7 linked regions of the Xenopus tropicalis genome follow. Each later gene encodes a partner of the first gene's protein in a complex. Links are inferred from orthologs where the notes say so. Each region holds a gene or a part of one and is shown in the gene's direction. Other genes may lie near its edges. The genes, in order: dpf3, smarce1, arid1b, smarcd1, actb, smarcd2 and smarcc2.

Region 1 (3,500 bases):
ATATTTACAGTGGCTTGCAAAAGTATTCGCCCCCTTGAACTTTTCCACATTTTGTCACATTACAGCCACAAACATGAATCAATTTTATTGGAATTCCACGTGAAAGACCAATACAAAGTGGTGTACACGTGAGAAGTGGAACGAAAATCATACATGATTCCAAACATTTTTTACAAATAAATAACTGCAAAGTGGGGTGTGCGTAATTATTCAGCCCCCTGAGTCAATACTTTGTAGAACCACCTTTTGCTGCAATTCCAGCTGCCAGGCTTTTAGGGTATGTCTCTACCAGCTTTGCACATCTACAGACTGAAATCCTTGCTCATTCTTCTTTGCAAAACAGCTCCAGCTCAGTCAGATTAGATGGACAGCGTTTGTGAACAGCAGTTTTCAGATCTTGCCACAGATTCTCGATTGGATTTAGATCTGGACTTTGACTGGGCCATTCTAACACATGGATATGTTTTGTTTTAAACCATTCCATTGTTGCCCTGGCTTTATGTTTAGGGTCGTTGTCCTGCTGGAAAGTGAACCTCCGCCCCAGTCTCAAGTCTTTTGCAGACTCCAAGAGGTTTTCTTCCAAGATTGCCCTGTATTTGGCTCCATCCATCTTCCCATCAACTCTGACCAGCTTCCCTGTCCCTGCTGAAGAGAAGCCCCCCCAGAGCATGATGCTGCCACCACCATATTTGACAGTGGGGATGGTGTGTTCAGAGTGATGTGCAGTGTTAGTTTTCCGCCACACATAGCGTTTTGCATTTTGGCCAAAAAGTTCCATCTTGGTCTCATCTGACCAGAGCACCTTCTTCCACATGTTTGCTGTGTCCCCCACATGGCTTGTGGCAAACTGCAAACGGGACTTCTTATGGTTTTCTGTTAACAATGGCTTTCTTCTTGCCACTCTTCCATAAAGGCCAACTTTGTGCAGTGCACGACAGATTCCCCCACCTGAGCTGTAGATCTCTGCAGCTTGTCCAGAGTCACCATGGGCCTCTTGGCTGCATTTCTGATCAGCGCTCTCCTTGTTTGGCCTGTGAGTTTAGGTGGACGGCCTTGTCTTGGTAGGTTTACAGTTGTGCCATACTCCTTCCATTTCTGAATGATCGGTGGAACAGTGCTCCGTGGGATGTTCAAGGCTTTGGAAATCTTTTTGTAGCCTAAGCCTGCTTTAAATTTCTCAATAACTTTATCCCTGACCTGTCTGGTGTGTTCTTTGGACTTCATGGTGTTATTGCTCCCAATATTCTCTTAGACAACCTCTGAGGCCGTCACAGAGCAGCTGTATTTGTACTGACATTAGATTACACACAGGGGCACTCTATTTAGTCATTAGCACTCATCAGGCAATGTCTATGGGCAACTGACTGCACTCAGACCAAAGGGGGCTGAATAATTACGCACACCCCACTTTGCAGTTATTTATTTGTGAAAAATGTTTGGAATCATGTATGATTTTCGTTCCACTTCACACATGTACACCACTTTGTATTGATCTTTCACGTGGAATTCCAATAAAATTGATTCATGTTTGTGGCTGTAATGTGACAAAATGTGGAAAAGTTCAAGGGGGCCGAATACTTTTGCAAGCCACTGTATATCTAATTAAAAGCTGCCATGTTGTCTCTGAAGGTTCTCAACAGGCAACAGTTACAGAGGAATCATCTATTTATCATTCCAGTGGCTATGGATACATAGAAAATGTATATTTTATGTAAACTTTAATTTCTATTCACATACAGTTCTGCACAATGGAAGAAAGGAATCAATATATTACTTTTCTTTTCTAATCCCGAGTCCAGGGTTCCTGAGTGGCTCTGGGGCACTGCCTCTGGTTCTTTCTCATACACAGAACGTACGGCAGAGTTATTCTATAGCATGGGAACCCTTCTTGGTGGCAAATGTTATTGTTAGTTGGGGTACAGTATTCTTCATACAGCTTCTAATGCATAAGGACTGTTTCTCTTGTTGCAGGCTTGGAGATCAGTTCTACAAAGATGCAATCGAACACTGCCGAAGCTACAACTCCCGCTTATGCGCCGAGCGCAGCGTCCGCCTTCCTTTCCTGGACTCCCAGACTGGTGTGGCTCAGAATAACTGTTACATATGGATGGAAAAGAGACACAGGGGGCCAGGTGAATTAAAAAACATTTAAAATGATGAAAACAATTAAGAAACGCGTTTCGCACACTAGGTGCTTCATCAGAGGAAGTCCTCTGATGAAGCACCTAGTGTGCGAAATGTGTTAAGAAGGAGAGTGGGTGCCATGGGGCATTGGGATGTACCTTTCCATTTGGTATAGTATGTTCTGTTTTTTGAATTTTGTGTTTAAATTCTGAGCCAATAAATGGTTGTGTATTTCACTGAATAATGTGTTTAATCAATGGTATGTTATTTCAGGACCTTTCAGTGAGATATATCTTAGGTTCTCTTTCTCATTTTTAATCATTTTCATTAAGTATAGAGAGCCATGAATAAATCTAACTCCTGTTTCATCTTAAAGGAGTGGTTCACCTTTGGGTTAACTTTTAGTTTGTTATAGAATGGCAAATATTTAGCAACTATTCAATTGGTCGTCATTTTTTATTTTTATCACTTTTTAATTATTTGCCTTCCAATTCTGACCAGCTGAATCTTCTACCAGCATTCAGATGGGGGTCACTGACCCCAGCAGCCAAAAACTATTGCTCTGTGAGTCTACAATTTTTTCTTCATTGCTAACTTTTATTACTTATCCTCTACTCATATTCCTATTTCTCTTATAAACCACTGCCAGGCTGCTAGGTTAATTGGACCCTAGCAACCAGATAACTGCTGCAATTCCAAACGATTAAAAAAAATCCGGGCCTGTCCAGGGCTGGAACTAGGGGTAGGCAGGAGAGGCACCTGCCTAGAGTGCAACACTGAGGGGGTGCCAGGCAGCAACCTCTCCTACCTACCCCAAGTCTTCGCTCCCTTATTGCCCCCACAGCTTATCATTGCACGGGGGGGCAATGGCCCCCCAAAGTCATTGTGAATAGGTACGGGCTTGGGCACACACATGGAGAGGAAAGAGGGTAGGGGGGAATGAGGTTGCAGGGGCAAGGTAGCTGACCAGATTGCCTAGGGCGCCTGGTGGGTTTGGCTTTCCCCTGACTGTACCCAAACCTCTCAAGCAAACACACAGTTTTTACCTTTTCATTTTCTGGTGCCACTGACCCTTCAGTACCAAAACCCATTGTATTCCAAACAGCTTATTTGTTGTGCAAATAGGGGTTTAAATGTTTGATACTATTTGTAAAAACTTTAATAAAGAGTATGAAGTGAACACACAATTTTACTATTGCATGTTACATTAATCCACATAAAACACCTTTTTTGGTGTCAGTGTCCCTTTCAATGTTTAACAAAACGCAGATTGAATTTAGGAACACGTGTTTAGGACCATAACTAGTGATGAGCAAAACTGTCTTGCCAAAAAATTGCAATGCATTGAAAACAAACACATTAGCATTATCTGCAAA
Region 2 (3,500 bases), on another chromosome or scaffold:
TTACTCTGCACGATTCATTAAGTACAACCTGATCTTTTAAGCTTAAACGTGGTTGGGAAAGGCCACTAGTCAATATGGCACTCTTACAATTAATATTGGTAGTGTATTTTACAGCTGCAGAAATGAAGTGCTCACACCAACCTACTGTACTGATTTTCTGTCAGGCCAGGTTATATTAAAATGATATCGAAGAAATCTAGGCAGCCTCTGAGCAGGCTGTAGGCCCAAGCCCCCAGCCAGGCCTGTATATGTACAAATTCATTGTGGTTCCTTAAAGGAGAAGGAAAGGCTAGTAAAGAGTTAATCTCAAGCCGCAGGCATACCTTCAGTTGTCTCAATGGTGCCCTTAAGTCTCCCCATATTTCACCTGTTCAGATGATCAGAAGCCAAACAGGAAGAAAAAATGCTGAGCTGTGTAAAGAAAGTTCCCATAATGCCTCACTCCTCACTCCTTCACCGAGACCAAGTGTACATGCTCAGTTAGATTATGAGGAAGCTTCCTGCTGATTGGCTCAGATCCACATTCCTTGGGGGGGGGGTGAGCTCTTAGCATTCTTGAGGGAGGGGGAAGCAGGAGAGAGGAGAAAGCAGAGAGCTGCATGTCTCTGGCACATGAATTACAGACACAAGAAGTCAGTGCAGCGTTTCTGTGAGTGCTTATGGCTGCATTTACATAGACCTTTCTGATAAAGCTTACTGAGTTTTTACCTTTCCTTCTCCTTTAAAGTCTGACACCAATAAATTTGATTAAATTTCCTTTTAACCCTCGGAATATTGTACATTCACCTTTGAAGGTCCCAGCTGCTTTTACATGCCATACGCTTATCACATTCATTTGTGTTCTATTTATTTTATCTCCAGAATTTATTTATTTTTTAATATAGAATTTTTCCCACTAGTTTGAGCTCATTTCTCATTTGTGTTTTTTGTCTCATTTGTTTCCATCAGCAAATGCCCAGCACACCAGGGTTTGTGGGATACAATCCATACAGCCATCTTGCCTACAACAACTACAGGCTGGGAGGGAACGCAGGCAGCAACAGCAGGGTAACGGTAGGAGAATGAACAGATACGTCACTCTTGGCGTTTCTGCACAGCTAAAGCTGGTGTTTGGGGGGGTGATATTTAACCCAGTAGTGGCTATTTGTGCCTAAAAAATGAATGCATTGCATTTATCCATGTTTGCACAGTATTTTCACTTTGTAGATTATACTAACATAAGATTGTTCTGAAGTTAAAGGTTATGTTGCCTAGGGGCTGTAAATAATCATATTGCATGAATGTTTATTACATTTAAACTTAAGGTCTATGCATTGAATGCCATTGCCCTTCACTCCAGCCCCAGCTAATTGCTGTACTGGTTTGTAAAGGAGCTGGTTACCTCTGATTAGCTGTGCATTTTAGTTTTTGGCTTTCTGGCAGGGTTAATTCCTGCTGTGCCTTAAGGGCACCTACAAATAATTTTGTGAGCCATATTTACTGGGGTTGGTGATTTACATGCTGTTCACAAGCCTTAAGTTTTAGGCTAATGCCAGACGAGGCGTAGGGCGGATATTTTCTGCAAGCGGAAAAACGATTTCCGAAAATTCTGCCCTACGCCTCCTACATGTGCCTGCACCCGAATGAATGGAATACACTCAGGTGCAGGAAATACACATAAAAACGCAAGAGTTTGAAAGTCTCGTGTTTTTATTCATATTTCGGCTACATGTGCCTGCACCCGAGCGTATTCCATTCATTCGGGTGCAGGCACATGTAGGAGGAGTAGTGTGGTATTTTCGGCAAGTGCTTTTCTGCTTGCCGAAAATATCTGCCCTGCGCCTCGTCTGGCATTAGCCTTACTCAGTAGGGCAATACTTACATAGGCATTTTATAGCTGGTAGCCAGCACTTCATGTTAAGGGCCACCTTCTTACCTATATTTCACCAAATTTGGAGCATGCTAGTAAGTCTGGTAATGTGTGCACTTTCCGTAGTGCCATCATGTTTGGGCACATTGTCATTATTTTGGGGGATATAGAGAATTACCCTGCATGCACACTGGCAGAGTTTCAAACAAATTGACTATGCTAGCCTCTAAATTTGCCATTATCCTATGAGTCGGTTCAACTGGTTTTTGCTTCTGGCCATTAATAGGATCCGCAATGCAACCTTGAGGCTACAGGCCTTGATTTATATGTACAGAATTATGTTATGAAGAATCAAAGGGGTCTCTGCATCCTACCATAATTACTATCTGCACAGTTCAGCCTCTGACAAGCCATCTGTTTATTTTCAGTGAAAGACATGTATTTATATAGCGCCGGCAAGCTACATAGCTCTGTACATTAATTAAGATCTAAATCTGGAGTGTGAAAGTTTTACTCATTTTGTATATTTTTTTTTTTTTTTTTGGATTTTAATCCAGGACATTTGCGCTGTGAAGCATCAGTGCTAATGGTGTGGGGTTTTTTTCCGTAAAAGGCCTGTGACAGACGGGGAGATTAGTCACCGTGGGACAAATCTCCCTGAAATGCCATCCCACCGGCTAGGGGTGGGATGGCAAACGCGGTGCCGAAATCGGCAAAGTTTCCTATCAAGGCAATTTTGGCAAAACGCCATGCCGCATTACCCATGCCACCGGCGATTTACATTCTAGCTGGTGGGATGGCATTTCAGGGAGATTAGTCACCCGCGACAAGGGAGATTTGTTGCACGGCGACTGATCTCCCCGTCTGTTACAGGACTATTTACCGTTTCATTAGACATGATTCAGGCTTTTATTTTTAAAAGAAAAAAGCGCACAACAGTTATATGAACTTTAGACAGACATACCTGATTCCACAGATTGAAAAGGAACCATGATAGTCTGTCTCAGTGCTCTTTAAGACCAATAGCCCCCTCAGTGTGTAAATACCTCCCTCACCATGTTCCATTATGAAGTGATGAATTCTGAGACTTGAGTCCCTCTACTTCCTAGAGATATTTCTTCATCACCCACTATAAAAGCTACATAAAGTCCCAGAATCTCATCACTTTACAGTAGAAGGTAAGGGGGGGGGTTGTATTACACTGTGAGCCTATGGAAGATTGGGAAATTCTTCATTAGAGAAACATGGATTCCTTTTAGGAATAATGTGGCCATTAGACTGCTATACATTTACTGTAGGTATCTATCAGTTCAGCTATGGGGCAGGTTTGAACATTTCATCTGGGAGTGGCAGTGGTCGACACATGTATGGCCACGTTAAGACTATTTCTTTAATTCTGCATTATATGTATTATTTACATTGTGCAAGAAGCTCTCAAGTTGTATTGTATGACTTGTATTTTTTGGTTTGGAAGCTAAAGGGGATCCAGTTATGGATTTCTCTAGCAAAGGCAATGCTGTTGCCGTATATTTACTGCGGTGTTTTGTCCGTGACATGAATTATTCAAATTGCATTGTGGGAATTGTGGAATTTTACAGGAGAGTCTGAGAAAATAGATCCCCCATGATTGAAAGGCAACACCACTGTTTAT
Region 3 (3,500 bases), on another chromosome or scaffold:
TTTTTAAGATCAAATAACCACTTACTACATAATGACACATTTAATGTGGAGGATTACCAGTATATAAAAATCTAATTAAGTCATGTTGTTTACAAAGCCTATAAAGAAATCTCAGTGTTGTCAGAGCTTAGTGTGCTTATATATGATGGTTCAAAAAAGTTTCCTGGGTCTGCATAAGCAAACATTCTTACCCAGAGCCATGTACAGTTTTTTTTTTATAATTACCTAAGTAATGAATTAAAGAAAAAGGAAATGTAATGTATTATCACCCATATATTGTGCACAGCAGCCCCCCAACCTATGACCTGAGTCAGTAAATGTAATTTTTCCTGCTCTGGTACTGATACATTCTTCTAATCTAATGCTGTTGGTCTGGGAATGCAATGTTCCACTATCTTTCCTGTACTGGTGTGATGGAGGCTGCTGTCTGGACTGCTCATGTGCACCTTAGGAGTGCCTTGTAATGTGCTGAGCATGTCTGTAGCTATGTTCGCTCCAGATAGCTCAGTTCCCTCCCTGAACTGACCTACTAGAGTTTTTCAGACTCTGGCAGCCCATTGGCCTTTCTTGGCAATCTGAAATACATCTTCTAATGTCTTCTTTTACAGCGCTTATAAATGATTTGGGGTGATATCATTCCATAATGTTGCAGAACTGAACAATACTGCAGCATTACCGTATGTTGTTTAGAAAATGTCCAACTTTCTCTACAGACGTGAGACATTTCCAGCCTTTGATTATCTAATTTTCTAAACTGTTTTGCTCCATTTTTCTACTTTAAACTTTCCCACAAGCTGCAGCCTGAAGGAAGAAATCTGACCACACCACCAGAAGAATCTTCTTTTTAAGTGGAGACTTTTAACATTACAGTTTTTCAGAGTTCAATTTGTATCTTGCAAGGTTAATTATTTACTGTAGTAAAAGCACACCTTACCACACAGGATTAAATGAGGAGCTAGTAGTCAGTGATGCAATAGCTTTTTTTTTATAGACAACATTCCAGATTCTTACTTGCTGTACCTTGCTTTTATTATTTTGACCAACTTTACCTAATTTCATAAAAGCACCTGTTTTTTTTAAAGAAATCTTGATATGCTTAATCAGTTGATAGATGATTTTGTATTTGCTTTAAGATTTGTATTCTTTGTTATTTGTTTCTTTATTATGTGGGCAAAGGAATATCTTTACTTTCTGAAAAATATCATCTCAATTTCCTTATTCTTGCATAAAAGTGATCCAGTTACCTAGTCCTGCAGCCTTTACTTACAGGCACCCTCATGCTGTTGATTTGACCCAAAAGATAATCTGATATTTTATCTGTATATCACAACCATCTTTTTTGTGTCTTTCTTATGTTATATATAATTTACATTAAGCACCACAAAGCTTTGCTTGCAAAGGCAAACTTGATAAAATAACGTTTGTACTGTCTGTAGTTATATAAGGTATGCACAGGGTTTTCTGAAGCTATGTAAAACAATTGACCATATGGCATCCATGTAGAACCATTGATGATGATAATTAATTAAATTTTAAAAACAAGAATTGTATAGACAGTGCCAATAACCCTTTCAAACACCATGAATTGCACTTGTAATGAAAATGAAGGTCGTGGTTCAGAAAATTTATAGACCAATTTTTAATGTAATAGGTGAAATATGAATTCATTAACCAGTCTGAGAAACGCCATATTAAGGTGTGTGCCTAGATATTCGTATTAAGTTATCTGCGACTATGTTAATATTCTGTCCCTCTTTTGTATGCTGCAGAAAGCAAGTTCTTCAACAACCACTGGAGAAAAAATCACAAAACTTTATGAATTAGGAAATGAGCCAGAGAGGAAGATGTGGGTGGATCGGTACTTGACCTTCATGGAGGAACGAGGCACTCCTGTTGCAAATCTGCCTGCAGTTGGAAAAAAACCTCTTGACCTTGTCAGGCTGTACTTTTGTGTTAAAGAGATTGGCGGTTTAGCTCAGGTAATACAACTTAATTGATGATTATTGTAATGGCATAATGCTTTGTCTGCCACTTACAGGTATGTGAATTTACCAGTTTCTTAAATCATGGAACAAACTGAATAGGAGAATCACTTGAGGTGTATTAAAATGGTCCACTTAATTTAAACGCCTGTTTTCCAGCTTGTGAGGAATATTTTTTTTCAGAAATATGTATCAACTACATATAGAATACATGAACATAAATATACAAATGTGCACATTCATAATTTACATCACCAATTGCTCATGTGGTTACGCAAAAAGAATACTAGCATCCTACTTTTATAGCATTTTTCTACAATTTACCACGGTTATTGCTGTAAACTCTATGGCACTGTTATTAAGTAATTAATTGTAAGAATTCAGATTCATTTCATATGAGTCTACATTTGGCAGGGGTATTGCTGAGTTGAGAATCTTACCTTAGGCAGTAATGCCCTGCAGGTTTCCAGGGGACACAAAAAAACAGCTCTTCTAGTACAGAGCGGCTCAGGGACCAGAATCACTCTGTTGGCAAACATAAGGGATAATAAAAGTTGTTAACCAAAAAATAATTTGCATAAATAAGAAAAATCCTCATTCCACAATGTAATAAACTTCATTAGACCTCTATTACATTGTGGGATAAATATAAAGGCCTACTTACAGGCAGTGTATCCTTGGTGCAAACAAAATAATCACAATAATTCCCAGGTTCACAAAAGCTATAGTAAATTTGTGCAAAGAAAAAATTTATTTACGCAAAGGAATAATTATTCACGTTGAGAATAATTTCACGTTAATGACATTCCCCATGTCTTCATTTCTGAAAATACTACTGTACCTGCTCTTGTGGCATCCATTTAAATATACTTGTATTCATTTTTACACCGCTAGGTGCTTCACATACATCACGATACTCCAAAATGAATTATTTTACATTATCTCATAATCCCTGAAAAAAAGAAAAAAAAATCAGTGGCTTTGCTGAGAAATTCCCCTGGGTGTCTGTATGAAGTGTTAACCCAGTCATAAGCAGCACAGCAGATCGTTTCCACTACAGAGACATCGGCATCCTGGCACATACACCCTTGGAGCTTTCTGAAAATAAACATATTTTCTTTCCGCATTTACAGCTCCCACAATAATACTAAATTGTGGAATAACACAGTTGCTCTTATTTTTATTGTTTTTTAAATGAGTTCTTAGCAGCAAGGCCTGTTTTAATTGAATCAGGAGCGCGTGAGCGTTTCCATGCTCTTGTACTTTACTGGGATGCAAATTGCTGGCTCCATGCATGTCTCTAATGTAAAGTGCTCAGCATTAGGGGATGCAGCATTCACAAGCCTCAGATGCCTTTTTTTATATTTATTTATTTATTTGCTATCAGCAGGTTCTTTAATAGCTTTATAACTGCAAGTGTGCGGCAGTGCGCCCCCTGAGTGGGAGTAATGAGCGTTAGTTAAAAGAGGCATATTAAGAAAATATAGGGAGATAAACCACAGAATAACCTATATGCTT
Region 4 (4,005 bases), on another chromosome or scaffold:
TGTCTTTTGCCATGGCACCAAAAACAATCCTCAAGATTTAATGCAGGCTAAATCATTGACTTTTGGGCTTCAAAACACTTGAGACTTTCTAATAATAACACTAAAATGGTCACTGTGCAAGCTTGCATGAGTAACAGTAGCTATTACAAGGCACATTGCACTAAATTAAACATGAGAGACACATAATTAGTGCAAGAGCTTTCAGTGCCATATGGGGGGTGTTATAGACAATGTGCACAGACTTGATGGCTCTGAAGTTGGCATTTTATTTGTTCAGTTTCTTATCTAGCATTAATGACTTTGGGCCACTGAGATACAGAGGAACAGGCGGGGATGCTCTCCATAATATACATAATGTTCTAGCTCCATAATATACATAATGTTCTAGCTCCATAATATACACAATGTTCTAGCTCCATAATATACATAATGTTCTAGCTCCATAATATACATAATGTTCTAGCTCCATAATATACATAATGTTCTAGCTCCATAATATACCCAATGTTCTAGCTTGGCCCAAAATGGTTCTGGGCATAAAAAGTGGCACCAAAATGCCATTAGTTTCTTATTCATCCAATAAATAAATAGCTAGTGTATTAAAGGATTAAATGACTTTGGCCCACTGATTTCAAAACATAAATGCATAGAGAGAGATGCCCTGCATAATATCCATCCAATCCCAGCCCGAAGCATTCCTGGCCTTATTAATGTCGTGTTCCCATCTTCCCGCTACAAACAGGCCACTTATTGAATACACAAGCGGCAGGTTGGAAGCATGACTGCACACAAACCCTTGGCCAATTCATCCAACTATTATAACGCCCCGCACAAACTTACAGTTCTTTATAAATACATACGAAACAACCCCATTGCCCGCCTTTTTATTGACTCAATATAAGCGCAATGTAGAGCGAAACGGCGCCATCTTTAAGTGTGGAAAAATAATAGCTGACAGTTTCAAAAGCGCATAGAGAAAACCCGCAAGTGCCCGCCAAACCAATCCCTGTCATATTGCTATTTACCATAATCTAAAATGGCCGCTTCAGGCACGGAGACCTTCCACCGCCTCACATACCATAGAAACACAGTTGTTGCCACACCTAAAATGGCGGCTGAGAGTTTCCGCTTTTTCACTCATGCCGGCTTACTAACTCCACACTAGGAGCCTCTGCCACCTTCTGTGACACGGTACTTCCGGTTCCGGCCCCATTGTTGCAAAGCGATGGCGGCGCGGGCTGGATTCCAATCAGTGACCCCGGGGGGGTCCGGTTCAGCTACGGCTGCTCTGGGTCCCGGTACCCCTGGCCCAGCGGTAAGAATGGGCCCTGCCCCTGGGCAGGGGATGTACCGCTCTCCAATGCCTGGAGCTGCTTACCCGGTAAGAGAATGTGATGTGGGATGTAGCGTCTCAGGAGGCCATCATTAAGGGGAGGGGGAGATAACGGAGTGTGAGCTAGCCATGGGGGCCAGTAGCCGCCTTCCTGCAGCTGGATGCAGTTCTGGCAGCGCGCTATATTAAGTGCGGTAGCCTATAGGTAGGGGGGCCCGCAAGTTGGACATCCCTGGCCCATCACTTTATTCCTTGGCGGACTGAGATGTAATGGGGGAGGGGTACTGATACCTACTGGGCGCCCAGTCCTGCAGCATCCCGGTCACTTCTACAGAACTCCTACTCTAACCAAAACTCTTTCTTTGCTTATTAAAAAGAAAATATAATTCTAAACAACTTTAAAATATAAAATACATTTCCTGTGGTTTTATATATATATACTTGGAAATGTCAGTCCGATCAGAAGCAGCATGTGTATTCTGGACAGTGTATTGGGGGCCAACCTGTTAGCTGATCTGTTAGAGAACTGACTTTTGAGAACAGAAAGGGATAAACATGCACTTTTCACAGCAAATATTACAATTATACATTATATTAAAACCACTGAATTGTTAATGTATGTATGTTGGAAAGTTGCTCAGAATAACATTTTCTTTCATTATGGCAGACAGTCTGAAAGGCTTTTTCATATATAAGGCCTGACAAATTTTTGTAGCCAAAGTGTTGGGCTCACTTATTCTAATCATTTATTTCAAAGTCAGTCACTGTTTTTGGTTTGTGCTGTCACCCCCCCACATAAGGTTAGGGCCACATAAATTTGTAGGGATCGGCTCAACTGGGTACTGCTAGGGGTGCTCCTTGCTGCGCATCTCTGGTCTGCCCACTCCTGATGTTTCCCTGCAGCATAGGATGCACAGAGTTGTGGAGATGGCAGCACAGTCCATGACTAAAGGGTTTTAGGGTTACCAATGGTTTCCAGTCCGTTGGTCCAGAGATTCCCTTTAAAGGGAACTTGTCACCCAGGCATAAAAAAAGCTGTATTATAAAAGTCATTTTCAAATTAACCATGAAATCCAAATTACTTTTTTTTTTTTTTTTTTTTTAACACATCCATATGCATTTCAAAGCTATGTAGAAATCTCAGCTGTCAATTATATATTGACTTCCCTATCCCTATGCGTTATTCATAGAGGCAGGCCAGATAATTACTTTCACTTTCCATCGAGCAGTCACTTTTCCCCCTCACTAATTGTGTAGCCAGGGCATGGGCATCAGGTCTCCTGTTGTGGCACATAAGGCAAGTTTTGTATAATGCCAAAATCTTGTTTAATAACCGTGCCCACAAAATGGCGCCTGCCTGCTTGCTTGCTGTGATTGTGAATTCCAAGACTGATGGACACAAGATTTACATAATTTATATAAAGTTTATTTTGCTTGACAAACACAATATAAAACAATTTGGAATTATTTCCTAGGGTAACAGGGCCCCTTGTGGGAGGAAAAAAATTAAAATGTATCATATAGTGTTGCTCCAATAGTACAGGTATAGGATCAAAATGTAGGTATTCAACTGCACAGCCTTACTGCTTCCGGACTCGATGCATCAATCCCCAATGACTCCTGCTTGCCTCTTTGCTATAGAACCTGTCATCCAGAATGCTTGAACCCCAGGAGTTTCTGGATACGTGCTCTTTTTTTCATACCTTAAGTCTACTAAATAATTTTTAAATATGCACCCCGTAGGATTGTTTTGCCTCCAATAAGGATTAATTCTATCTTAATTAGGATCTAGTACAAGGTACTGTTTTATTTCAGAGAAAAATAAATATACAAATTGTGAATTATTTGATTAAAATGTACTCTATGGGCGATGGCCTTCCTGTAATTTAAAATTTTCTGGATAATGGGTCTCCGGATAATGGATTGCATACTTGTACTACGTTTACATGCTGTTTGTATTATATTTAGCTATGTTCTCTTACTGACATTTGGGGTCAAGTGCTGTCTGTCGCTCTATGAATATATAACATTTGGGATTGCTGTTCTGATCACTCACGTTATATGGAGGTTGTAAATTGTTGATTTTTTGTTCTGTTAAAACTGTGTACTGTAATGTTTGTCCGTGTAACTTTTAACACATTACAGTATGGTGTATTTATTGTAGCAAATACACCATACTCAAAGCCTGGTGCTGCCTTATTGCTTGTTAAAAAAACCCAGAGTTATGGTGACCATGCACGGGCAGATTTAAGCCGCTGGGTCCTTCAGACCGGATTTGGCAGTTTATCTGCCATGTATGTTGACCCCCGGCCATGTATGTTGACCAGTATGTCAATACATAATAGCTAGAAGTTAACTTCTTCCTTTTCAGCTGTCCACCCTGTTAAAAGCCAGTGACTTGAGGGCAAACATAGTATGGGACATAACTGTTTTCTTTTGAACCTCACCTGCGTGCTAAGGATAAAAAGCAGACTAAGTGAACATTGGCCTTTCCACCAGCAACTCCTATTGTTGTCGGTGGAAAGACATTTCAGAGTGGTTAGACACCTGCAATAACAGAGATCTATTGCGGGAGACTGAACCACTCCATGGGACATCAGTCAAGAGATTAGAGAGCTGAAAGGGGGAAGTCGTGTTCTGTCTATTATGTTAGACATCCACTTACTCCACTC
Region 5 (4,107 bases), on another chromosome or scaffold:
CCCTAGCTTTTGTGAAACCACAACTGTGAAGGGATCCTATCTAGCTGAGGTAAAGGACAGTCTATAGACCACTACAGTTGTAGGACTTTTGGCTTCAGGGTAGGGGATAAATAGGACTCCCCTAGACCTGATGAAGAGGGCCTAAGACACCTGCCCCTTCAGGCCTCCTCGCTGGGGGGGCATTCATTCTTTCCATTTTAAAGGAGGGTCTAAATTTGCTGACCCTTGCATTCTTTTGTTTTTTTTTTGCACCTGGGTGAAAAAGCATGTTCTTCAGGCTTCAAAAAACATATGAGTGAGATTGGCAGGGAAGGTCATAGTCATAGTAAACTTAGACTTTGCTGATAAACTTGGTCTTTGCTGATATGAGGGTTGGTTACTTGGGGAGCTCACATTCCAGTTACTGCATGGGGCTCCAAATGTTTTACTTTAGATTAGTTTAGATTTTTTTTCCTTACATACGTTGCATTTTATTCTCAGGGGGACGGATGATCTTCGACAGTATCAGCTTAACCAATAAATACGTTTATGAGTACCAGAGGTCATTGTAGAGCTGTAAACTGTAAAGTTAAATAACAAATGGTTGACCTGCATAGGAAATGGAAGTATGGACAAAGAGCAGTATCGCTGACTCAGAGCAGGGAAGGCGATTTAAAAGTGTTTATATAAGGAAATATGTGCTATAATGATACTTTTCTTTCCCTTACAACACAGCCATACATGAAGAAATAACTAGGCACTATCACAATATGCTGGCGCTAGAGACAAGAAGTGCAATCGAGTCACTGTATTCATGGATTGTACGCAACACAATGCAGTGCGTCACTGTAACGTTACAAAGCTTACTGTCTCGGCAGGCTGCAGAAATCCTAACGAACTGCATTTGGTCCTGACATTTCTGCAGACATAAACGTGCAGACTATCTGCTTTGCAAAGCCATGTTTTAAGAGAGTAAATCATTTCAGGCCAATAAAGAATATAAAAAGAAAGAGTTCTGCACCGCGCCCTTTATTATACAGCAATTAATGGAAAGGATAAGGCGTGGTATATCTAAGTGTAGATTTAATGAAACATATATATGTATATTGATATCTATGTATGTACGTATCTGTGTATATACGTATCCGCATCCTAGCTAGTAGGTGTAACTGCCTCACTCTACGCGCCCCCTTCGCCCGCAGTTCCTACAGCCAATCAGCTTCCCAGTTCCTGGAACGCTCCTTATATGGTGCAGCCGGCTGGGGCGCGCAGCATAAAACCGGCGCCCTAGCCCGACAACTGCTCAGTGACCCGCCCGCACAGAAACAGGACAGTGTGTGTGTCGTACTCTCAGGCAAGTAGCGCCGAGCCTGCTATTGTTGTGCTTTTCCTCTGCTATTTCCTGCTTCTATTCGCCTATTTTTCTCTATATATTATTAGAATAAGCATGATTTGGTTCTAATTGGCTATGTTTTTCATAATGTGCTTGAAATAGTTGGTAGCTTAATGTAGCGTTATTTACTTGAAGGTAAGACTTGTTAGTAGACAAGCGTGAAGCCTGGTTCTGGAATTGTGCTAAAGTTCAGTTCCTTATATGCTTAATTAGATCTTAATTGATAAAGGACACTGGAAGTTGTAGGTTGTACATACTGGAGAGCTGGGGAACCATTTTTCTGTTACAGCAGGTTTAACTTGTAAGTTGCATTTAAAAATAGGGTTTTGTTTTTTTTTTGTATCGTTTCCTCTTCTGTAAACTGAGCCCCCAATAGCAGCGCCGCTTGGGGATGTGCGATTGGGCGGTTCCCTGCCGATGTTAGTGTGAGGCTGCACACAAAGCTACATATTGTGTATAAGTGTGTGATGCAATCTGTGTCGGAACAGCCTTTTGCTGTCTAAAATATATTGGCGGTAGTTCTCTCCCGCTTCGGTTTAGACTTTCCATATGCATGTATATCCGTAACTAGAATACAAAAGCGCAAGTTACATCTTATATATTTATTTTGTCCTTGCACTGGTAAAAACGGAGTCACACCTGCAGTATGTGATTCTGTCCTGTAGTGTTGCCTTCATGAAACATTGGGAGTGGTAGTCGGTTGGTTCGATTGCCTAATACCAGCAGTGACTTGTTTCTTTGCCACACCTTCACTATCCATGGCTGGATGGGAGGGGTGCTTGTGTAAATCTTTGCTGTTGCCTTATTTGGTAATACAGAAAATAAATCGATTTCCCTTTGTCTAAATCTGTACAGAAATGGTGCAAACCCCTGCGCCCTCTTGTGACAGACCTTATGAAATGCAAGTAATGGGCAGGAAGCGTCCTTGTGGTATATACCAGCGCTCATAATTTGGGTGGATAATTATCTCAATTTTATTTATTTTTTAAATTTCAGATTACAATGGACGACGATATTGCTGCACTGGTCGTTGACAATGGTTCTGGTATGTGCAAAGCCGGCTTTGCAGGTGATGATGCACCCCGTGCTGTTTTCCCATCCATTGTTGGTCGCCCAAGACATCAGGTATGCCCTTTTCATGCCTTTTTCATTTCATGTCTAAATAAAACCTAGAAATAAAACTAGTAAAGCACCTCTAACAAATCAGTGTGTTGTCCCAAGGAGGTAAAACATTTTTTTTTTTTTTTTATGTATTTAACTGTTAAAGGTGAAACTAATCTGGGGGCAAATAAAACTGCAATTCTGCATGGGTTATAGGTATGTTGGTAACAATATATTTGCCATTGAGTGTTTTTAAACCATACACGTAAGGATAGTTTCCAAAAAGTGTTGCATAAGATGATGCAATTTTTTTTATTTTTTTTTTTTTTTTTACTCTTTCAAATAAACACTGCAGGCAGGAATAATCACATAAATAGCTGTGCCTAGGGCACCCCCCAACTCTTGTGCCCTAGGCTTGTGTCGGTTATTCCTTTAAGCTGGTTTTGGGCACTTCTCGGCAAGGCTGAAACTAGGAGTAGGCATATTTAAAATAAACTCTTTATACTGTCCACACAAACCCTGTTTATTGACTTATGCTGTGTAAGTGCTAAAGCCAGTTACATTTTCCAACCCTGCATGAAAAGAATTTCTTTTCAGAGTGTAATGTGGTTTAATTTAAATGGAAAAATATTTTAATTAAGTGCAGGTTAAGTGTGTGTATATAGATATTTAATATGATATATATATTGTACTTTGCACACTACATTTCCATATTCTTTGCAAATTGCCTACTTCTGTTTATTTGTGAAATACACAGGGGCGTGGTTAACATAGCAAATGTTCTTGCATACTCTTGTTTCCTGTAAGCACAAGATGACAGGAAGTATTACGAAATTAGAGGGCCCTGCCCAAAAGAGCTTTTACTCTAGAATTTCCTCTTAAAGTCTGCATTATGTGAGGTCCATGAAAATCCACTTTATTCATTCCATTGTCTGGCTAGTATTGAATTAAGGCATGCTTTTCATTTACTAAATTACTTAATTTAGTCCAAATTGTCTTACGCTTTATTTTAGGGTGTCATGGTTGGAATGGGACAGAAAGATAGCTACGTAGGAGACGAAGCTCAAAGCAAAAGAGGTATTCTTACACTCAAATATCCTATTGAGCATGGCATTGTCACTAACTGGGATGATATGGAGAAGATCTGGCATCATACCTTCTACAATGAACTCAGAGTGGCCCCAGAGGAACACCCAGTGCTGCTGACAGAAGCACCCTTGAATCCCAAAGCTAACCGGGAGAAAATGACGCAGGTATGTTACCTGTTTTCTGGTGTGAGGGTTTGGGTTGTGGGTTTTGTTTTGTGTTTTTTGTTTTTTAATTATATAATTGCTATTCCTTACAGGGCTGTCCTGGCCTCAAAGTTTACTGGAATCTCAAAGGTTTTTTTTCAGTATTTGCCTGTTTTACATCAAGGGTAGAATACTAACAATGTTAGCGTTGTGTGAAAAGTGCTGAATGATGGCTTGTTTTTCAAAGTTCACTTTGCTTGTGTTTTTCCTCACATTGGCCCTGCCTAAATTTGTGTTGTGTGCAGCAAAATCAAATGCTGTTCTGAAACTACACATGCATGAGTTTTGGATGCCTTTATGCAGGTAATGTGCTAATTGCCTTTTCAACCATTACAGATCATG
Region 6 (3,337 bases), on another chromosome or scaffold:
CTGACCATTAAAGGGGCGGTTAAATTGTAGTATGTTATAAAATGTCCTATTCAAAGCAACTTTGCAATTGGTCTTTATTATTTATTTTTATAGCATTCAATTATTTGCCTACTATTTTGCATTTTCCAGCTTTCAAATGGGGGTCACTGACCCCAGCAGCTAAAAAAAACTTTTAGCGCTATTGTTACTTTTTAATTTCTCTCTTTCTACTCAGTGCCAGCACCTCACTTCCTGGCTGCTAAGGTAAACAAGGCCCTAGCAACCAAATAGCTGATTAAATTCCATACTGAAGAGCTGCAGAGTAAAAAGCTAAATAACTGAAAAACCAAAAATAATAAGCCTATTGCAAATAGTCTCAGAATATCAATGTCTATGTCATAGTAAAAGTTAATTTAAAGGTAAACTACCCCCTTCAATATTATATTTCCATAATATTATGGAATAATATTTAATATAACAGGCAGGCACATGTCCGGACAACTGCAGTAGTAGACTGGAAGTAGTTTATGTTGTGTAAATGAACTATAGTTTATTATAAATCTCCCTAAAAATCATGTAACTAGCCTTACGCATTTTGTGCCTCCTGCTGGCAGTTCCGAATCCTTGTAGTTACTGGCTTTGTCACTAGGGGCATAGCAACGCTGTTCTCCTATTGGCTTGTAAGACTGGTAACTGATTGGTGAGCTGGTTCTGTTTTTATATAGATCATGACGGATACAATGGGCAACCCAGAGGAGGAGAGACACACTGAGTTCTATCAGCAGCCATGGGCACAGGAAGCTGTGGGAAGACACATCTTCTTTAAGGTGGGTACTTAGCTGCCCCCCCTGGTGGGTACAAGAGCTTGCTGGCATCTGTATAATCCAGATAACCTGTTCTCAATGTTCCTTTTGCAGGTGCAGCAACGGAGGCAAGAACTGGAGCAGGTTTTGGGGCTCCGTCTCACCTAATCCTAAGCCAGAACCAGTAACCTATACATTCCATATTGTTTGTGTCCTTTCCCCCTACCCTGTCTTTATCAACTCCACAAAGTCTTTAGGGAAGTTGTAATTTCTCAGGTACGACATTCCAATCAACTCCCTATGTTTTAAATCACTGCCCCGTTTCAAGATGCACCTTCCCTGTGCTCCAAAATTATATTCCAGACCCTTAAAGGTTAAGAAAAAATTAAGTGTCACCAACTGGTAAATTCCCTGCTTGGGCTGTACCATTTAGTGATGCCCTCTTTACATGCTGGGTTCAATTAAGACCTGTAGTCTTGGACATTTTGCATGAGAATTAGGCCTTTAATGGTTTTTGCATTGCAAGTGTGATCCAGAACTTGGGGCATTTGTCTAACCCAGCTTGCCAAGATGGCAGTGTCATCTGGTACAGCAGCACTGTAGGGATGCTGCCAATCGGAATCAACTGGTGACTGGTGTCAAGTGGGAAAAGCCCCCCTACATAATCAGTAGGTAATACAAATTTGACTTTCCTTGTCCTTGAACGCCTTGTGGCCTACATATGGTTGCATAGCAGGGGGCTGCCATATTGCTTGCGTCCAATAGTTCCCTTAAGTAGATCGGTATAAAATAAAGCACCACCACCAATAAATAGGCAGATAATCATATAAAGGATGTGGTACACTAGGGCCAAAGCTGCTCCGATACCCTACCTTCTTGCTCCATGCCATTTTATTAAATGAGAACTCAGGAATCCCCCTTCCCCAAACAGTCCCATTTAGGTGTGAGTGTAAGTCACTACTGGCATGGCTTCTACCAAACAGATATTCTTGTTCTTGTATGTTAACATGTTTATTTGCAAACACTATTTGCACTATATGTTATGAGGTGGGGGGGAGAGGTGACTGCTGTTTTTCTGCTTGGGGAGGGTAAAGAACTGCTTCAGCCAAAAGGAAAATGTAGGCATTGTTTTGGGTTCATGTATCCTTGTGCATGCTATATTATATTTAAAGAGACTTTGCACTAGTTAATATCACCAGCAGCGGCAGCGTGCCTTCTTTGACAAAGAGCATTACCTGGCATTCTGCTCAGTTAGTCTATAACCAGTCCTTTGTATATGGAATGACCCCCTTTGACAATAGGATAATGTCTGTGGGGACGGGGACGTGGGGTTGCTATGAATGTGATTCAGGGGTAGCCGGGTTGCAGCTAATAGCCATATGGTTTTATTTCCTCAGGGCAATTTTCCCATTTATCTATGCATAAAACCTAGTTTGGGACCAAATTCACATATTCTGTGCCACTAAGCGTGCATATCAGGGGGTTTTTAAAGGGCAAGTGACACCAATAAATGAAAATACACATTCATTCTACAAAAAGTAATTTGGGGGCAGACCCTGAATATGTATTTTCTAAGGCTACACTGAAGACAATAAACTTTAAAAAAACAAAATATGGAAGTAAATATTTCATTTACTGTTTGGTGTAGCTTGTCCTTTTAATGTGGAAGAGTGTGCGCTATATATGTTCTACAGTTTCTTAATGCTTGTTAAAATTTATTGTTGACAGATTGTATACCAGATATTGCCAAATTGTGTGTTGCAGCTGCTGCCGAACTACCCAGTATCTGACGCTGGTGAGGCGTTGGCTACAGTTCTGCAGCATCTAAAGAGTCACAGGCTACTTTAAAAAAAAAAAATCTGAAACGATCTTGCAAGTTATTTGGATGCCTGTGTGTCCCTGCCCCCTGCAATATGCATTTTAATCACACAAGCCATGATCATACCTATGCTGTTTACAGACATAGCGCTTGGGGAGCTGGGGCTGAATGTACTTCAACATTAAATGTTTTTGTTGGCACAAATGTTTCAATGTTTAATAAAAATAAGTTTTTTTTAAGTTTGTTTTTTTGTATTTATTTCACATGAGATAACATACACATATCCGTTACAAAACCAAAATCCCGCCGTACTAAATGCCCAATGGAATAGTCTAATTTATAGAGAAAGCGTGGTCTCCTAGAATAATAGGCTTCAGGGTGCTTCCATATTGTGGCTCCCAGCATTCCCTGTTAGCAAAAAAAAAACTGGAAAGCCAGGTGTTAAAGATCTTTAGATTACAGGAGTTTGTGTTGAGTTTTCTGATAATTTACTGCGAGCCTTGTTGGGAACGCTGGGTTTAATAATCAAAACAGGCTGACATTGCAGGGCTTCAGCTGGGAGCAGAGTGTAATGGGAACCGAAAAAAAAAATCACTTCCACAGCTTCTTAATGGACATGTTCTTCTCGCTGTCTTTCTGCATCACCTGGTACAAGAAAGATAAGAGATTCATGGTTAAAATGCAGCACTTTAAAGGGGTGAGATCCAAACCGGCTTTTGTACAGCATTTTATACTC
Region 7 (3,500 bases), on another chromosome or scaffold:
ATGGAGTAAAGCTTCATCTTCCAGGAGGCAGGACACTTGAGCAGCTAAGAAAAGGGGGGTGCCCTGCTAGTCAGGCTTTACCCCTCGTAATTCCTCTTTTGACCTCAGTTTTTCAAGTGTCCTGTCTACAGGAGGGTGTACTGTCAAATCTCTAGTGAGACCCATCGAGAGGATATCTGCAGATAAATAAACGGCTGGGCAGATGCTCTTTTAAATAGCAATGTTTTATTTAATGTATATTGGATTTTTAATTCTGCTCTCACAGGTTTATTGCCAGCCCTTTGTAAATCTGTGGTGTCCTAGAGGGGTTATCGTTTCCCCTGCACTTTGGGATTAAATGTATTAATGGATTCTCTGCTATATTTGGCAGGAAAAACATTTTACAGATGATAAGCAATGAATTTTTCACATGTATTTGTTTAGGAAGAAGATGAGACCTCATCTGGGATTAAAGGCGAGCAAATGAAAACATCCGATCTTCATGAGGACAATGTGACTGAACAAACACACCATATCATCATTCCTAGCTATGCTGCTTGGTTTGACTATAACAGGTAAAGTCTCCTCTTTGCTTTTAATAGCAATGGAACTATCCTCTGATAATCATTTTTCTTTTTTATTTGGTGAAAGGAACCTTGATTTATTGTGATGAATAAAGACAAGCAGCACATTTCACAGCACAAATAGATGATTTATGTATAACATTGTGTCCTTTATTTTACTGTTTCAACAACTCCATCTTTATTCATCATTACCTGAGATACAGGTGGGCTCTTAGGGCAATGGCACATCAGTGATCCAGGTATTTTGTAGCTTCCTGGGTCTCGATCCCCACTGACTTGAATGGCAGTGACCTGTATGTGCAAGTGCACTTGCTTCTCAGGCAGTTGTTGCTTGGAAGCAAAACAAGTCCATATACAGTATGCTTGCAGGGGAATCTCCATTTAAGTCTGTGGCTGTATCCCCTGCCTATGGAACTACAAATCACTCTGGCAATAAAACGCGAATAATTGCCCCTGTTCTGTTGCCCTTAATCGTGACTGCCAGCTGTAGAACTGGAGGTGTCAAGCTCATGACTCTCCTAGTATGTTTTTCTGGACAATTTGCACCAACACAGCCTCATGGGTTCTTTTTTTATTTTTACACAACCACATTTGGTTGAGCAAGAAACAGGGTTTTTGATGGTGGAGATAAAACATTTCTATTACATTTTATTTTTATTGATTACAGAGCAATTTAAAGTATGCTGATTTTAATCTTTGTCTCACTGTATACCTTTTATATTAAGCTTTTTAGAATACATGGCTAGAGCCTTCCTTAAGTGGGGGTTTGTTTGTTTTTGTCACCATTTTTGAATGGTAACAGACTGCTTTGCAATAAGTTAACATTATTGCTTTTATTGCATATTTATTTTAATCTCCCTTTCTCCTTCAGTGTGCATGCTATTGAACGTCGGGCATTACCAGAGTTCTTCAATGGCAAGAACAAGTCCAAAACACCAGAGATGTGAGTCTTACACAATATATGGTTATAGGTGTGGCTGATAAGAAGGCATGAAAAAGTTTAAGTGCTTGATTTTTCAGAAGTTAAACAGAAGGGAAAGGTTTAGAGTAGCAGGCCAATTCTCTATAAAATAGTTACAATAAAATATATATTTTGTTCATAGAAGAAAGTTATCTTTTAATTGGTTTAGAAGATAAATTGTTTAAAATTGGCCTTGTGTTCTTTTTCTGCTATTCAACTGCACAAGTCTTGCATAATGGAAAACTGCTTTATGTATTTATTATTTGGTAAACTAACCTTACATATACGTTACAGCACAGGATTCATTTGATGAGACTTTGTGCAAAGAATGTGTCACAGTCTCATAACCTTACATTTCACAAACCAACACAAATGACCCCTTCTGTTCTTTTTCCCTATTTTTCTAGATACCTTGCCTATAGAAACTTCATGATTGACACCTATAGACTAAACCCTCAGGAATACCTTACTTCTACAGCATGTCGTCGCAACTTGGCAGGGGATGTCTGTGCTATCATGAGGTGCGGGTGACATGGGAACGTCATCTCAGAGGATTAAAAGGCAATGATCATATGTAGTAGGGTTAGCAATGAATAGCTGTGCATACTAGAAAGTTTGGGAGCACATTATGATTTTGTATATATATTTTCTATATATGTTAGTGTTACACAGTTAATAATTATATTAAGAGGAGGATATAATTGTCCCAGCTCTGTTGTTCTTCTTGCTTTAGGGTTCATGCCTTCCTAGAACAGTGGGGGCTCATTAACTACCAAGTGGATGCTGAGAGTCGTCCTACTCCAATGGGCCCTCCTCCAACATCACATTTCCATGTCTTAGCTGATACTCCATCAGGACTGGTTCCACTGCAGCCTAAAACACCACAGGTAGGCATGACAAGGCTTTTTAGACGAGTCATTTTATGGTTTCACCTCCCTTTTATATATTCAGTGCACATGTTTTCATTACCTGTACTACATAGCTCCAAACGGCTTTTTTTTGTCTTTGGCCTATTTCATTATGATAATTTTTCCATGTCACCAGCTTTTCTATAGTTCACTTTTAAGGTGGTGTCACCCACGGCTGTTTTTCTTCTGTCAGAGAAATGCCTGAATCGCACGTTTCTCTTTGGTTATCAATATACTCTGCATCTGACATGAAATGGAATGTCTCATTTTCTTCTTTCTAGCAGAGCTCTGCTTCACAACAGATGCTCAATTTCCCTGATAAAAGTAAGGATAAACCAAGTGACCTTCAGAATTTCGGCTTACGGACAGATATGTATAGTAAGAAGAACACAACATCCAAGGTAAATCAAAACAGTGTATTTCAAAGTTTTCTTTAGTCTTTAAAATTTGTAATTTTAGGTAATACTTCTTGTTACACTTAGTGTTTAGTAATATGTGGATTTTTTTTTTTTACTTGAACAGAGTAAGGCTGCTGCCAGTGCAACACGCGAATGGACTGAGCAGGAGACGCTGTTGCTACTTGAGGTGTGAAATCTGGATATGCTTCACTGAATAAATGATTTGGCACTTAGAATTTAGTTAGATATTTTGAAAATGTATGCCAATTACCTATGCCTACCTAACACAGGCTCTGGAAATGTATAAAGATGATTGGAACAAAGTATCTGAGCATGTGGGGAGCCGCACACAGGACGAGTGTATCCTGCATTTCTTACGACTTCCCATTGAGGATCCATATCTAGAGGACTCTGAGGCCTCTCTGGGACCACTGGCCTATCAGCCCATACCCTTTAGCCAATCGGGGAATCCTGTGATGAGCACAGTAGCCTTCCTTGCATCTGTAGTAGATCCTCGGGTAGCATCAGCTGCAGCAAAATCAGCTTTGGGTTTGTTACTTTTATTTTTATTTGTTGGTACAGTCTTTGCTGTATTCAGGGGCATTTTGGCCCCTAGTGCCCCAGAAATGTTGGGAATATTAATAACCTTTAAAAGACTTTGTAATGTTTC

What was found.
Region 2: dpf3 (region 1) and smarce1 share a complex: the UniProt entries of both Homo sapiens proteins name them as parts of the BAF complex. The link is inferred for Xenopus tropicalis from reciprocal best matches to the Homo sapiens genes DPF3 and SMARCE1.
Region 3: dpf3 (region 1) and arid1b share a complex: the UniProt entries of both Homo sapiens proteins name them as parts of the neuron-specific chromatin remodeling complex. The link is inferred for Xenopus tropicalis from reciprocal best matches to the Homo sapiens genes DPF3 and ARID1B.
Region 4: dpf3 (region 1) and smarcd1 share a complex: the UniProt entries of both Homo sapiens proteins name them as parts of the BAF complex. The link is inferred for Xenopus tropicalis from reciprocal best matches to the Homo sapiens genes DPF3 and SMARCD1.
Region 5: dpf3 (region 1) and actb share a complex: the UniProt entries of both Homo sapiens proteins name them as parts of the BAF complex. The link is inferred for Xenopus tropicalis from reciprocal best matches to the Homo sapiens genes DPF3 and ACTB.
Region 6: dpf3 (region 1) and smarcd2 share a complex: the UniProt entries of both Homo sapiens proteins name them as parts of the BAF complex. The link is inferred for Xenopus tropicalis from reciprocal best matches to the Homo sapiens genes DPF3 and SMARCD2.
Region 7: dpf3 (region 1) and smarcc2 share a complex: the UniProt entries of both Homo sapiens proteins name them as parts of the BAF complex. The link is inferred for Xenopus tropicalis from reciprocal best matches to the Homo sapiens genes DPF3 and SMARCC2.

What each region holds. Positions count from the first base shown.
Region 1 is NC_030684.2:106,429,046-106,432,545, forward strand, and holds part of dpf3 (zinc finger protein DPF3), read left to right. Parts: intron 1-1,971; coding exon 1,972-2,132; intron 2,133-3,500. UniProt on the Homo sapiens protein: Belongs to the neuron-specific chromatin remodeling complex (nBAF complex).
Region 2 is NC_030686.2:8,337,395-8,340,894, forward strand, and holds part of smarce1 (SWI/SNF-related matrix-associated actin-dependent regulator of chromatin subfamily E member 1), read left to right. Parts: intron 1-948; coding exon 949-1,053; intron 1,054-3,500. UniProt on the Homo sapiens protein: Involved in transcriptional activation and repression of select genes by chromatin remodeling (alteration of DNA-nucleosome topology).
Region 3 is NC_030681.2:52,286,617-52,290,116, forward strand, and holds part of arid1b (AT-rich interactive domain-containing protein 1B), read left to right. Parts: intron 1-1,769; coding exon 1,770-1,979; intron 1,980-3,500. UniProt on the Homo sapiens protein: Involved in transcriptional activation and repression of select genes by chromatin remodeling (alteration of DNA-nucleosome topology).
Region 4 is NC_030678.2:148,800,767-148,804,771, forward strand, and holds the start of smarcd1 (SWI/SNF-related matrix-associated actin-dependent regulator of chromatin subfamily D member 1), read left to right. Parts: upstream 1-1,205; 5' UTR 1,206-1,225; coding exon 1,226-1,381; intron 1,382-4,005. UniProt on the Homo sapiens protein: Involved in transcriptional activation and repression of select genes by chromatin remodeling (alteration of DNA-nucleosome topology).
Region 5 is NC_030685.2:46,572,744-46,576,850, reverse strand, and holds the start of actb (actin, cytoplasmic 1), read left to right. Parts: upstream 1-1,307; 5' UTR 1,308-1,333; intron 1,334-2,368; 5' UTR 2,369-2,374; coding exon 2,375-2,497; intron 2,498-3,486; coding exon 3,487-3,726; intron 3,727-4,101; coding exon 4,102-4,107. UniProt on the Homo sapiens protein: Actin is a highly conserved protein that polymerizes to produce filaments that form cross-linked networks in the cytoplasm of cells.
Region 6 is NC_030686.2:15,729,376-15,732,712, reverse strand, and holds the end of smarcd2 (SWI/SNF-related matrix-associated actin-dependent regulator of chromatin subfamily D member 2), read left to right. Parts: intron 1-704; coding exon 705-806; intron 807-896; coding exon 897-950; 3' UTR 951-2,837; downstream 2,838-3,337. Other genes in the region: psmc5 (26S protease regulatory subunit 8), read right to left, coding at 3,193-3,246. UniProt on the Homo sapiens protein: Involved in transcriptional activation and repression of select genes by chromatin remodeling (alteration of DNA-nucleosome topology).
Region 7 is NC_030678.2:137,495,662-137,499,161, forward strand, and holds part of smarcc2 (SWI/SNF complex subunit SMARCC2), read left to right. Parts: intron 1-423; coding exon 424-554; intron 555-1,434; coding exon 1,435-1,506; intron 1,507-1,931; coding exon 1,932-2,045; intron 2,046-2,257; coding exon 2,258-2,411; intron 2,412-2,713; coding exon 2,714-2,833; intron 2,834-2,954; coding exon 2,955-3,017; intron 3,018-3,120; coding exon 3,121-3,379; intron 3,380-3,500. UniProt on the Homo sapiens protein: Involved in transcriptional activation and repression of select genes by chromatin remodeling (alteration of DNA-nucleosome topology).